3 linked regions of the Arabidopsis thaliana genome follow. The protein of the gene in region 1 interacts with the protein of each later gene in a pairwise test. Each region holds a gene or a part of one and is shown on either strand. Other genes may lie near its edges. The genes, in order: AT3G06220, AT1G12890 and AT4G00270.

Evidence for each region.
Region 2: the proteins of AT3G06220 (region 1) and AT1G12890 interact in a two-hybrid assay, tested with the Arabidopsis thaliana proteins (one large-scale study listed by BioGRID).
Region 3: the proteins of AT3G06220 (region 1) and AT4G00270 interact in a two-hybrid assay, tested with the Arabidopsis thaliana proteins (one large-scale study listed by BioGRID).

What each region holds. Positions count from the first base shown.
Region 1 is NC_003074.8:1,882,694-1,886,598, forward strand, and holds AT3G06220 (AP2/B3-like transcriptional factor family protein), read right to left. Parts: upstream 2,278-3,905; 5' UTR 2,143-2,277; intron 2,052-2,142; 5' UTR 2,028-2,051; coding exon 1,959-2,027; intron 1,435-1,958; coding exon 979-1,434; 3' UTR 655-978; downstream 1-654. Other genes in the region: AT3G06210 (ARM repeat superfamily protein), read left to right, coding at 1-116, 193-624; MKK8 (MAP kinase kinase 8), read left to right, coding at 2,803-3,684.
Region 2 is NC_003070.9:4,389,644-4,392,933, forward strand, and holds AT1G12890 (Integrase-type DNA-binding superfamily protein), read left to right. Parts: upstream 1-2,027; 5' UTR 2,028-2,090; coding exon 2,091-2,750; downstream 2,751-3,290. Other genes in the region: NUDT12 (nudix hydrolase homolog 12), read left to right, coding at 393-463, 608-731, 814-897, 989-1,138, 1,221-1,403; GAPA-2 (glyceraldehyde 3-phosphate dehydrogenase A subunit 2), read right to left, coding at 2,991-3,290.
Region 3 is NC_003075.7:116,486-120,295, forward strand, and holds AT4G00270 (DNA-binding storekeeper protein-related transcriptional regulator), read right to left. Parts: upstream 2,159-3,810; 5' UTR 1,984-2,158; coding exon 1,750-1,983; intron 1,667-1,749; coding exon 992-1,666; 3' UTR 600-991; downstream 1-599. Other genes in the region: MEE45 (Transcriptional factor B3 family protein), read left to right, coding at 1-222, 267-566. UniProt on the Arabidopsis thaliana protein: DNA-binding protein, which specifically recognizes the GL1 enhancer sequence. May be involved in leaf initiation. May play redundant roles with GPL1 and GPL2 in cytokinin responses by regulating the transcript levels of type-A ARR response genes.

The sequences.
Region 1 (3,905 bases):
CACTTGAAGTTCCTTTGATCCGTGTCAATGCAGCGAGAGTGTTGAGAAACTTGTGCATATATTCTGGACATGAATGCTTTCTCGACCTGAGGTTCATTAAAACAGCAGCGCCTACTGTGAGTATGTCTGTCTGTCGGTACAAATACTGCGTTGAACCCCCAAAAGATTAAAACTTGTTCTGTTTTCTTGCAGGTACTGAAGTCAATAACATCAGGTGACAATAAATTGCTGGAAGTGATGCTAGGATTGGCAGCACAAGTGTTCAAATTCATGAGTTCAGAAGAAGCAAACATTGTTCTGACGGATTCAGGGATCAAAAAGCAAGAACTTGCAAACTCACTGGTTTCGATTCTGAAAAAGCATGACAAGCCAGCAATCAAGGTTCCAAGAATCAGGAGGTTTGTGATCGAGCTTGCGATATGGATGATGGAAGATGATGTGGAGAACGTTGGGATGTTCAGGGATTTGGGTATGGAGAAAGAGCTCGTGAAGGTTCTGGAAACTACGGCTGAGCTTGAGAACTTTGATGTTTTCTCTGGCACGGTTGGAGTGAGCCGACAGAGCAGAACGGTTCATTGGTTAGCTGAATTGGCTTTAAAAATGCTTGAGGATGAACATTCTTAAGGTTCATGTTCCTCTTGAGAAACTCAGAGCGTGCTAATTATGATTTATGAAACATATCGTTTATTTTTACAATTATTTAAAAAGCTGCTCAAAGTTCAAATTAGAGATATATCTCAAATTCCATCAGTATATACACATACCTTGTAAAGAAAGATACACTTCTCTCGTAATAGTGATCTTCATTAAACCATTGTTTAAACTTCTGGTAATAGTGGCAATTTCTCAGATACAAATAGAGTTTATAATCCTAACAATGACGAAAACAACTTCAGGGATGAAGTGATATAAGAGAATTCATGTCCACAGAGGAAAAGTGAATTAAACATACGAATAGTTCAGCATCAATCAGATGATTTAATAATAGTCACTATCACTTGCATCACTTATCTCTTCCACTGGCATGGGAGTTACGTCAACAACGCTATCACAAGAATCATTGTCACCTTCAGTATCATCAGAGTTCTCTTCCGCTGGCATGGGTGTTACGTCAACAAGGCTACCAAGAGAATCGTTGTCACTTTCTGACTCATCAGAGATCTCTTCAACATGAACGACTGCTCGCGTCTCTTTGCAGCTACCGCGACCATAGATACTTACTTCATAACTTTTGTACCCATCAAAAACAAACGTCAAGAACTCTCCATCTTTTAGCTCGTTATCGGCCACGAAATTTTCCCAGCCTCGTGCCAAATACACTTGCTCTCGCTTGCTCATCATTGCTACTTTCCAAACTCTTCCACCAGTTCCCGTGAGAATCGCTGTTTTGGGTAAACGACGCGGTAAATGTTCGTAGTAAGACCTTGGTATCAGCTTCTCAACACAAGAAAATGTAACACAAGTTAAAACTGTAGAAATGAATGAGAAGCAAAACAACATAAACGAGAGACTCTTTCTGCAACAGAGGCTTTTTACACATGAGACAATAAGGAGAGTGATGGTTATATGTCTCACTAGACAAACAAAACTATGTTCCAAATAGCATACTCATAAATAAGTTCAAAATCCAACAAAGATGGGTTATGTTTACCAATTTTTTCATCTAGGGATTTGTAAACACTACTAACCATACGAATTTTTGTTTAAAGAAAACCTCTGTTTTTGAATCTTTAAACATTTGAGAAAAACTTGAGAGATCCAACTCTATACTCTTGACAGATTCTAGCAATATCAACCGAAGTTGGTAAAAAAGTTAAAATCTTTAAAGAATTACTGACGTAAATTACTCACAACAAAGACTTAACATATAAAGCAAATAGATTTTTCCTAGAAACCAACTCAGACACATAACCTAATTTGTTTCAGAAACAAACTAAAAATCAAGAGAAAAATCTTACCAAAGAGTTGGAACTGACACAGGAAAGAAAGACAGTGTAGAAGCGAGGAAGTACATCACCGGAAGCCATTGAAGTTGCTGGAACTCTTTGTGTCTGTGAGGTAAAGAGAGAGCAGACGAATTATGTAACGTACGAAATGTATAAAAATTTCTAAGAAACTGAGAGAAAGAGAGGAAATTATTACCAAGTATTTGAGCTAATCTGGTCAAAAAGGGTCACTTAGAAGAAAAAAAACAAGTCCAGAGACTGAAGCAGGATTTGGATCACCGGAGAAAAGTAACTTGTGTGAGAGTGACTGAGACAGAGAGAGAGAGAGTATAGAGAGAGAGGTGGTGGTGTACTTGGGTTAATCATCTTTACTTTATTTACCATTTGACCCCATATAATTTTTCAAAACAACCCCATAGTTTGTACTATATTACAGTCAATGATAGCAGTAAATGAAAAGATGAGTCAATGACAACAACCAAAATGGAAATACCACAGTAAAGCTTTCTCCTCTTCTGTACGTCATCAATCTCTCTGTACTCTTTTGTCAAAAAAAACTTATTGGGGGTAATTGTTTAGTTAATATTCAATTTTGATATGAAAAAAAAATTCTCAACAAACTTATAAATCTTTTACGTGATTTGAAATTTTGGGAAATAATAATGGTATGCGTATCTGATCGATCCAAAACCAAATATGAATATTTGACATGTAAACTAAATCATGAAAATAAAGAATTTCAAAAAAAAAAAAATGTGGATTCCTATATTAATCAATTGTTATTGTCCGACCCTCTACTCTCAAAAAACAAAACCCTAATTAAGCTCTTGAAGATCGATCATTCAACAACAAGAAGATGGTTATGGTTAGAGATAATCAATTCCTTAACCTCAAACTGTCTCCTATACAAGCTCCTACTACTATCCCCCCTTGCCGCTTCCCCATCATACCCGCTACAAAAGTCTCTGCAACAGTTTCTTCCTGCGCAAGCAACACTTTTTCTGTAGCTAATTTGGACAGAATCAGTGTTCTTGGCAGTGGAAACGGAGGAACCGTATTCAAAGTTAAGGACAAGACAACCTCAGAGATCTACGCGTTGAAGAAAGTGAAAGAAAACTGGGATTCTACTTCCCTCCGTGAGATCGAAATCCTTCGCATGGTCAACTCTCCTTACGTCGCAAAGTGTCACGACATCTTCCAGAATCCTTCCGGAGAAGTATCTATTCTAATGGATTACATGGATCTTGGCTCGCTCGAGTCTCTACGCGGGGTTACAGAAAAACAACTCGCTTTGATGTCTCGTCAAGTTTTGGAAGGAAAAAATTACTTGCACGAGCACAAGATCGTTCATAGAGACATCAAGCCAGCGAATCTGCTACGTAGCTCAAAAGAAGAAGTCAAGATCGCAGACTTTGGAGTGAGCAAGATCGTGGTCAGGTCTTTAAACAAGTGCAACTCGTTCGTAGGCACGTTCGCATACATGAGTCCTGAAAGACTCGATAGTGAAGCTGATGGTGTTACAGAAGAAGACAAATCAAACGTTTACGCCGGAGATATATGGAGTTTTGGGCTTACGATGCTCGAGATCTTGGTGGGTTACTACCCGATGCTACCAGACCAAGCCGCGATAGTATGTGCAGTTTGTTTTGGAGAACCACCAAAAGCCCCCGAAGAATGCTCTGACGATTTGAAGAGTTTCATGGACTGCTGTTTACGCAAGAAAGCAAGCGAGAGATAGACAGCTTCACAGCTTCTCAACCACCCTTTTCTTCTCCACCAAGATTAGGGTTAGGGTTATCTCCGAAGATATTGTATTGGTTACTGAAAACATTAGACTCTCAGTGATCCAAAGAGATCAAAAGATGCACCAAAGTAGGTTTTGGTCTACCACTTGTAAAGGATCGGAGATGAAGTGATGATATTAGTGGATTTCCGGGAGTAAAACTCCCGGCGAGATGT
Region 2 (3,290 bases), on another chromosome or scaffold:
CGTTCTTAAGGTTCTTCTTGTTTTTGAGCTCTAACAAAAATAATTTATTTATTTTCATGTATAAATATTAAAACTGATTATATAGAGAGACAGGTGATAGTTAGCAGTGAATGCTCGTTGGTACAACTCCTCATTCTTCTCCGCAAAAATAGCAAGTTATTTAACAAACAAAAAAATTCATATAAACGATTTTATTTTTTTGTGACTTTTGAGATTCGTTAATTCTGGAAAATTTGTTTATTTTCAAAACAAGAATATGGATTCGTCATAAAAGCTAGGCTATGATCAACATGTTTCATACAAACAAGAACAGGGCTTTTCAAGAAAGTAGCATTCTCTGTTTCTGTTGTCTCAATCCCTTTTGATTTTTTTTGTGTTGGCAGATTCATCAAATGTCGGTTCTTTCTTCTCGGACAGGACGAGATCGTCAACGTTACGACAACAACTTCCGTCTCGTTTCTGGGTACCAACAACTTACACAACAAAAAATCATTTTGTTTTGTTTTTTTGTTTCTTGCAAATCTTGAAAATTTTCAAGAAACCCCAAAAATCAGAAAACAAAATTGTTGATTTTCTTGTTGTTTGTTTCTCTATACATTATGAACAGATGCATTCCTTATAGGCTGATGAAAGCTGACGAAACTGAAGAAGACTCAGGTGTTGACTTTGTAAACAAACTTGAAGTTCTTATGGTTTCATCTCCTAATCGTCATGATCTTGTCTTCCCAAAGGTCTTTTTTTGAATTGAAAAATCATCCTCTGTACTATCATTTGTAATTGCTCATGTTAATTTGTTGTGTATATTATTATCAGGGAGGATGGGAAGATGATGAGACTGTTCTTGAAGCTGCTTCTCGTGAAGCCATTGAAGAAGCAGGAGTTAAAGGAATACTTAGAGTAAGTTTACACCTTTATTAAACAAAACACTAAGAAAGCTATTTTAAAGTTTTTTGAATTAGATGTGTTTTGGTCATGTTTTTGTTTATAGGAACTTCCTTTAGGAGTTTGGGAATTTAGAAGCAAAAGTAGCACAGTGGAGGATGAATGTTTAGGTGGATGTAAAGGATATATGTTTGCATTAAAAGTTACCGAAGAACTCGAGGATTGGCCAGAGCGAAAGAATCGTGAACGAAGATGGGTAAAGCTTAAGATTCAAATGTGTAGTTATTCATATAAGTAAGTACAATGTTTTAACTCTGAGATTACTCGAAAATGTGCAGTTGACTGTTAAAGAAGCGTTGGAGCTTTGTCGGTATGAGTGGATGCAGAGAGCACTTGAAGAGTTTTTGAGAGTAATGGAAGATGAAAGAAGATTGAGAACAGAGGAAGAGACAGTGCATGATTCTTCAAAGCTAGAGGAGGAGAGTCAAATAGATCCTTGGTACTGTTTTGTAGTTAACTAGTTTTTCATATTCTTTAGCTAACGTAAACAAATTGAAAAAATGAGAAGTAAAGTGACTGCAACACATGTGACATGATATAATCTCAAATCATCTGTCTTGAATCTTGATATCTGTCTGTTTGAAGTGATAAAGATAGAGTTGTCTTTATATGCAATTGGGACACCAAATGCAAAAAGACAAAGGACATAGAAGAAATTACCTAATCACACACAAATCAATGCTTAAGGCTTGACTTCAAAATCAACTGAATACACTTAAGAATCCAAATCCCTAAGCTTATGTCACATGTTTAGTTAGGTTTCTTGACATTTGTACAGTTTTTGTCTGAGTCTATAATGACAATGTCCTTGTCACAACTTGGCTTTGCTCCATACATTCCTTAATATGAATCACCTCACAGACTAAAGTGTGGAAAATATTAAGCAAAAGGACAAAAATAGAGAAAATATGAAACACTTCCTTGTTTCTGCTGACACAGTTTACGAAGGAGAAATAAGTCTTTGGAGTTAAATTTTTGAACTCCCAACAGTTTCCTTAAATTTAATGCCAAATCCAAAAAGGCATCAATCAAGTTCACACACTCTTTTGCTCTTCTTACTCAATATAGAGTTTATATAGCAGCATAAGGAACCTCAAAGCTCAAGAGACTTAAAGAGAGAGAAACATTGATCTCTGAATATTGTGAACATGTTGAAATCAAGTAACAAGAGAAAAAGCAAAGAAGAGAAGAAGTTACAAGAAGGGAAGTACCTTGGAGTGAGGAGACGTCCATGGGGAAGATATGCAGCTGAAATCAGAAACCCTTTTACTAAAGAAAGACATTGGCTTGGAACGTTTGATACAGCCGAAGAAGCTGCTTTTGCATATGACGTTGCTGCTCGATCCATCAGCGGCTCTCTAGCTACAACAAACTTCTTCTACACTGAAAACACCTCTTTAGAAAGACATCCACAACAGTCTTTGGAGCCTCATATGACTTGGGGATCTTCTAGTCTCTGTCTTCTTCAAGATCAGCCTTTTGAAAACAACCATTTTGTTGCTGATCCTATCTCTTCTTCTTTTTCTCAAAAACAAGAGTCTTCTACCAATCTCACTAACACTTTCTCACATTGTTATAATGATGGTGATCATGTTGGCCAAAGCAAAGAGATTTCTTTACCTAATGATATGTCAAACAGTTTATTCGGTCATCAGGACAAAGTCGGTGAACATGACAATGCAGACCATATGAAGTTTGGCTCAGTTCTCAGCGACGAACCTCTCTGCTTTGAGTATGACTACATTGGGAATTATCTTCAGAGTTTTCTCAAAGATGTCAACGACGATGCTCCACAGTTTCTTATGTGAGCTTGTATTACCGATCCTTCAATTTATGTAATATAAAAAGTATTGTATCTTTCTTTAGTGTCAAATGCATTCCCAAACCAGAGTTGTGTATTAAGCAGAGGATGTAATATGTTTGAATCAAGTTTATTACTATAAATTATAGAGCACAAATACATAATAAACTCAGGAACTACAATTATACATTCCGAATCATGTAACAGTAAAAAATAATGGAGCAGACATCAAGAGGTTGTTGAGTCTTCACTTCCAGTTATTGGCAACAATGTCAGCCAAATCAACGACTCTCTGTGAGTAACCCCATTCATTGTCATACCAAGCAATCACTTTAACCATATCATCTCCCATAACCATTGTGAGGGAAGAATCAATAGTGGAGGATACATCAGAGCACCTGAAGTCAACAGAGACAAGAGGCTCATCACAGACGTCAAGGATACCTTTAAGCTCTTTCTCAGCTGCATCTCTGAAAGCAGCATTGACTTCTTCAGCAAAAGTTTTCTTGGAGACTTGCACGACTAAGTCAACCACTGAAACGTTTGG
Region 3 (3,810 bases), on another chromosome or scaffold:
ATCATAACTCTCAAACTGATAAAGAAAAGAGCAACTCTTGTTCTACGTTTGATCCCCAACGAGCCAGAAGAAGCTAATGAAGTAGTCTCTCTTTCGACAGAGCAAGAAAGCGATGAAGAGAGTATCCACGACGAGAAAATCTCAAGAAGAAAGTCTTTACTATCCGAAAACCGATTTGTGACATTAACTCTAACACCTTATACAATCCAAAGTTCTCTACTGGTACGTTTCATCATTCCAAGCCATTGTCTTTTAACAGTCTATAGAATGAGAATCTTTTGTGTGAATCTATGTTTCAGCGTCTTCCGGTTCCTTTCACGAGGATGAATGGTATCAATGAAGAAACTAAAATGACTCTGTTGGATAAACATGGTGTGAAGTGGTTAACGACTCTGCGGTTCGAGGACGACAAAAGAAAAAGACTACGAATGGTAGGAGGATGGCAAGGATTCATCCAAGCTAACGATGTGAAGGCAAACGAATCCATCATGTTGGAACTGATTTGGGAAGAAGAAACAAGTTGCGTCCTTAAGTTCTGCTCCAAGGTGAAGCTAGAAATCAAATGAAACTCTATATTGAAATGAATCAATGTTTGACTCTTTTATTTGGTAAGATATAACTCTTAAGGTTTCATTGTCTTAGAGAGTAAGAACAAAAACCATTTTTCTTTTAATCTTCTACATTGTTAATATCTTGGATAATATTACAAGACACACACACACTCTTACTTATACTACTTCACTACACTCTTAGGCACACACACAAGCATGCCTTAAAGCACATTATTAACCCTAGACTCTAGACTCTTGCACAAGCCACTCTACTACATTGGCTCTTGTGGATACTTGAGTAAAAAGTGGAATATCTTACAAACACTTGCCCAAGTAGAAGAAAGACAGGATCCAAAGATAAATACACTGAACAGACTAGAGCTTATGACTTACTAAGAACCTAAACAACACCAAATGCTACAAGGGCATATTGGTTTCATCTAACTATCATTAGCTGCCTCTGCAAGCTTGGCGGAAAATCTAAGCTTCTTGATATTGAATCTTGTTTCCTCAACACATAACGCTTTCCATTCATCACTCAACTCTCTTCTTTTACCATTTCCAAGGTTCATCAGCTTCTCAAGCTGCAACTTCTTTTGATAACCACTTAAACCTTGCGACATCACCGCCTCAAATGCATCCTGCACCGCGCATAACTCATCATCATCATCATTGTCCTCATCATGTCTCTCTTTTCCACTACTAGTCCCATTCTCTGTTGTTTTGGCTGCCCCATTCTCATTTAAAAGTTCAGTATTAGCCACTTCCTCCTCGTGCTCCTTCAACATCTCCTCCCCGCTCTCGTTAGTCCGGTTTTCCGCTGCACCATTTCCGTTTACCTCGTGCTCCTTATCCATACCATCATCATCACCTTGTCCCCAAATCATCGAAGAAAACCCAAAGGCTTCAGAATCACTAGACCTAGTAAATTTGGGATCATTCCCTTGATTGATTTTCTCCGAGTGAACATGAAACCTCCTTTTCAACTTCCTGATTTTACTCAAAACCTGATCCTTGGAGAATCTCTCAACGATAGAACTTCCGAGGAAACTACAAAACGCATCCCAATCAATTTTGGGATTGAATCCTGTCTTAGCTCTGTAATCAACTAACCCCTGAGCAATTTCGAAAATCTGGTTTTAGAAAATCACAATGCAAAACCAAATCAAACTATAAATGGAGAAGATCAATACAATACCTTTAAGATAGAGAGCTCATCTTCCTCGTTCCAGATCCGGACGATCAACGGCGGATCCAATTTCTTCTTCTTCTTCTTCATCTTCATCTTCTTCTTCATAGTCTCTTCTTCTGCGACGGAAGCAGCACGCTTTGAGGAAGGAATATTCCGTGGAGATCTTCGATGGGAGAGGGTACCGTTGGAGTTATCAGCACCAACACAGGAAGAGAAATCGATCTGCTTCGGAGTCACCATGCTTATTGCTTGCTTTAGACTTGCTGATTCTAGGGCGCATGCAGAGCAGTGATTCCCAATCTTCACGACCTTTAAAAAGTGAAACCCGAGAGAAAAAGAAAAGCAAAATAGGATGAGTAACACTTGGCCATACTTTTCTCAACATTCATAACAAAACAAACACTTTCATCTTTTTTTCTACTGTTTAATATTCATCAATAGTACAATTTTGCTCTTGCAAAAATCTATCATTTTAGTCACTTAATAGTATAAAATATTTTATCTACCTTTTTTATATAATAAATTAAAATTTAGTTTTTTCTACATTTTAAGATTCATTGCTGATATATTTTAAGTAAATAATTATATTATATATTATCCATTTCTGATTGAATATTTTTTTATTATTAAATAGATATTAAAAGGTATTTGAACAAAACATATTACACGATAAATTAATAAATTTTGTCGGTCTCAAATCGGGGTAATGTAAAAATTAACCAAAATCGATAAGATAATAAGATAATATTTTTTTTGAAATCCCTATGTAAAAATATGGTACCAGTAATATCATAAAATTAATAATCATAAATCTTTAGCATACATTCAAAGACTAATTTTATATGAAACTTTTGTTCAAGTCATAATTGCAACTCTTTCTAGAGTATAGTTGGTGTGATCTCTTTTGTATTCACATAACTCTTTGCGTATTTGATCCGTCATATTTGGTTTTGTAACTTTTTTTATATGAAAAATCATTGTTAAGATTTGTGTAATAAAAAATTGGATTAAGTCTCACGTTAACGTCGTATACATGCACAATATCTTACAGAGAAAAAATAAAAAAAGTAATAAAAAAAAATCTAACAGAATATACAAACAATAAAACATAAAGAAAAACTAAATTAAAATTTTTCTTTTTAAAAAATTAATATTGTATTTTACGTATAAATTTTTATAAATTAATAAATGTACTACTATCATAGTAACACCTACAAACTGATATGCATATATACACAAATGAGAGTTAACACTATATATATATCGATTGTACCTTGTGTAGTGGAACACTTTATTGTTGTAAATACATAATCCTCAACTATTAGTGTCTATGTATGTCAAACAAATGAAACAATGAAAGCAATCCAAATTAAATGAACAGATTACAATGTAAAATGCCTTCATCCATCTCCGCCATTAGCATGATAGGAACTTGTACTCGATTTCGAGATCCAAGGAATATTACAAAAGGAACGTAACCGTGCTTCTTTATGATCTTCACCACCTCAAGAAGGACCTCTTGTTATATTGTATAGCTCCTCTTTTCCCTGAGACAAATGACCACAATTCTAATGTAAAAAGATCACATCAAGCGACACAATACTCCATCGGTCAAAGATCATTCTTTTAGCCAAAACTTCATTGATTAAGGCTTTGAATGGGAGGGAAGCAGAAAAAATACATGTTTACCTTTGCATATAGTGCTCCTATTATCAAGACATTATTTCTGTATTTTCCTTTTTGTTTTAATATTTAGAGTTAAGATTTCTGTTATTTAAAAACAGTTGATCTATGCATGCAGTCCTTCTCTTACCAAGACATCATTCATGTATTTTTATTTTTGTTTTAACATAACATTTTTGTTATTTAAAATCAGTTGACATGTGCATGTAGTGCTTATGTTACCAATACATCATTTATGTATTTTTATTTCATATTTTATTATTTAAAATCAGTGTATCTTTCTATGTATTCCTCCTATTACCAAGACACTATTCATGTATTATCATTTTTATTTTAATATTTATTTTAAGATTTTGTTATTTAAAATCAGTTGACATGTTTATG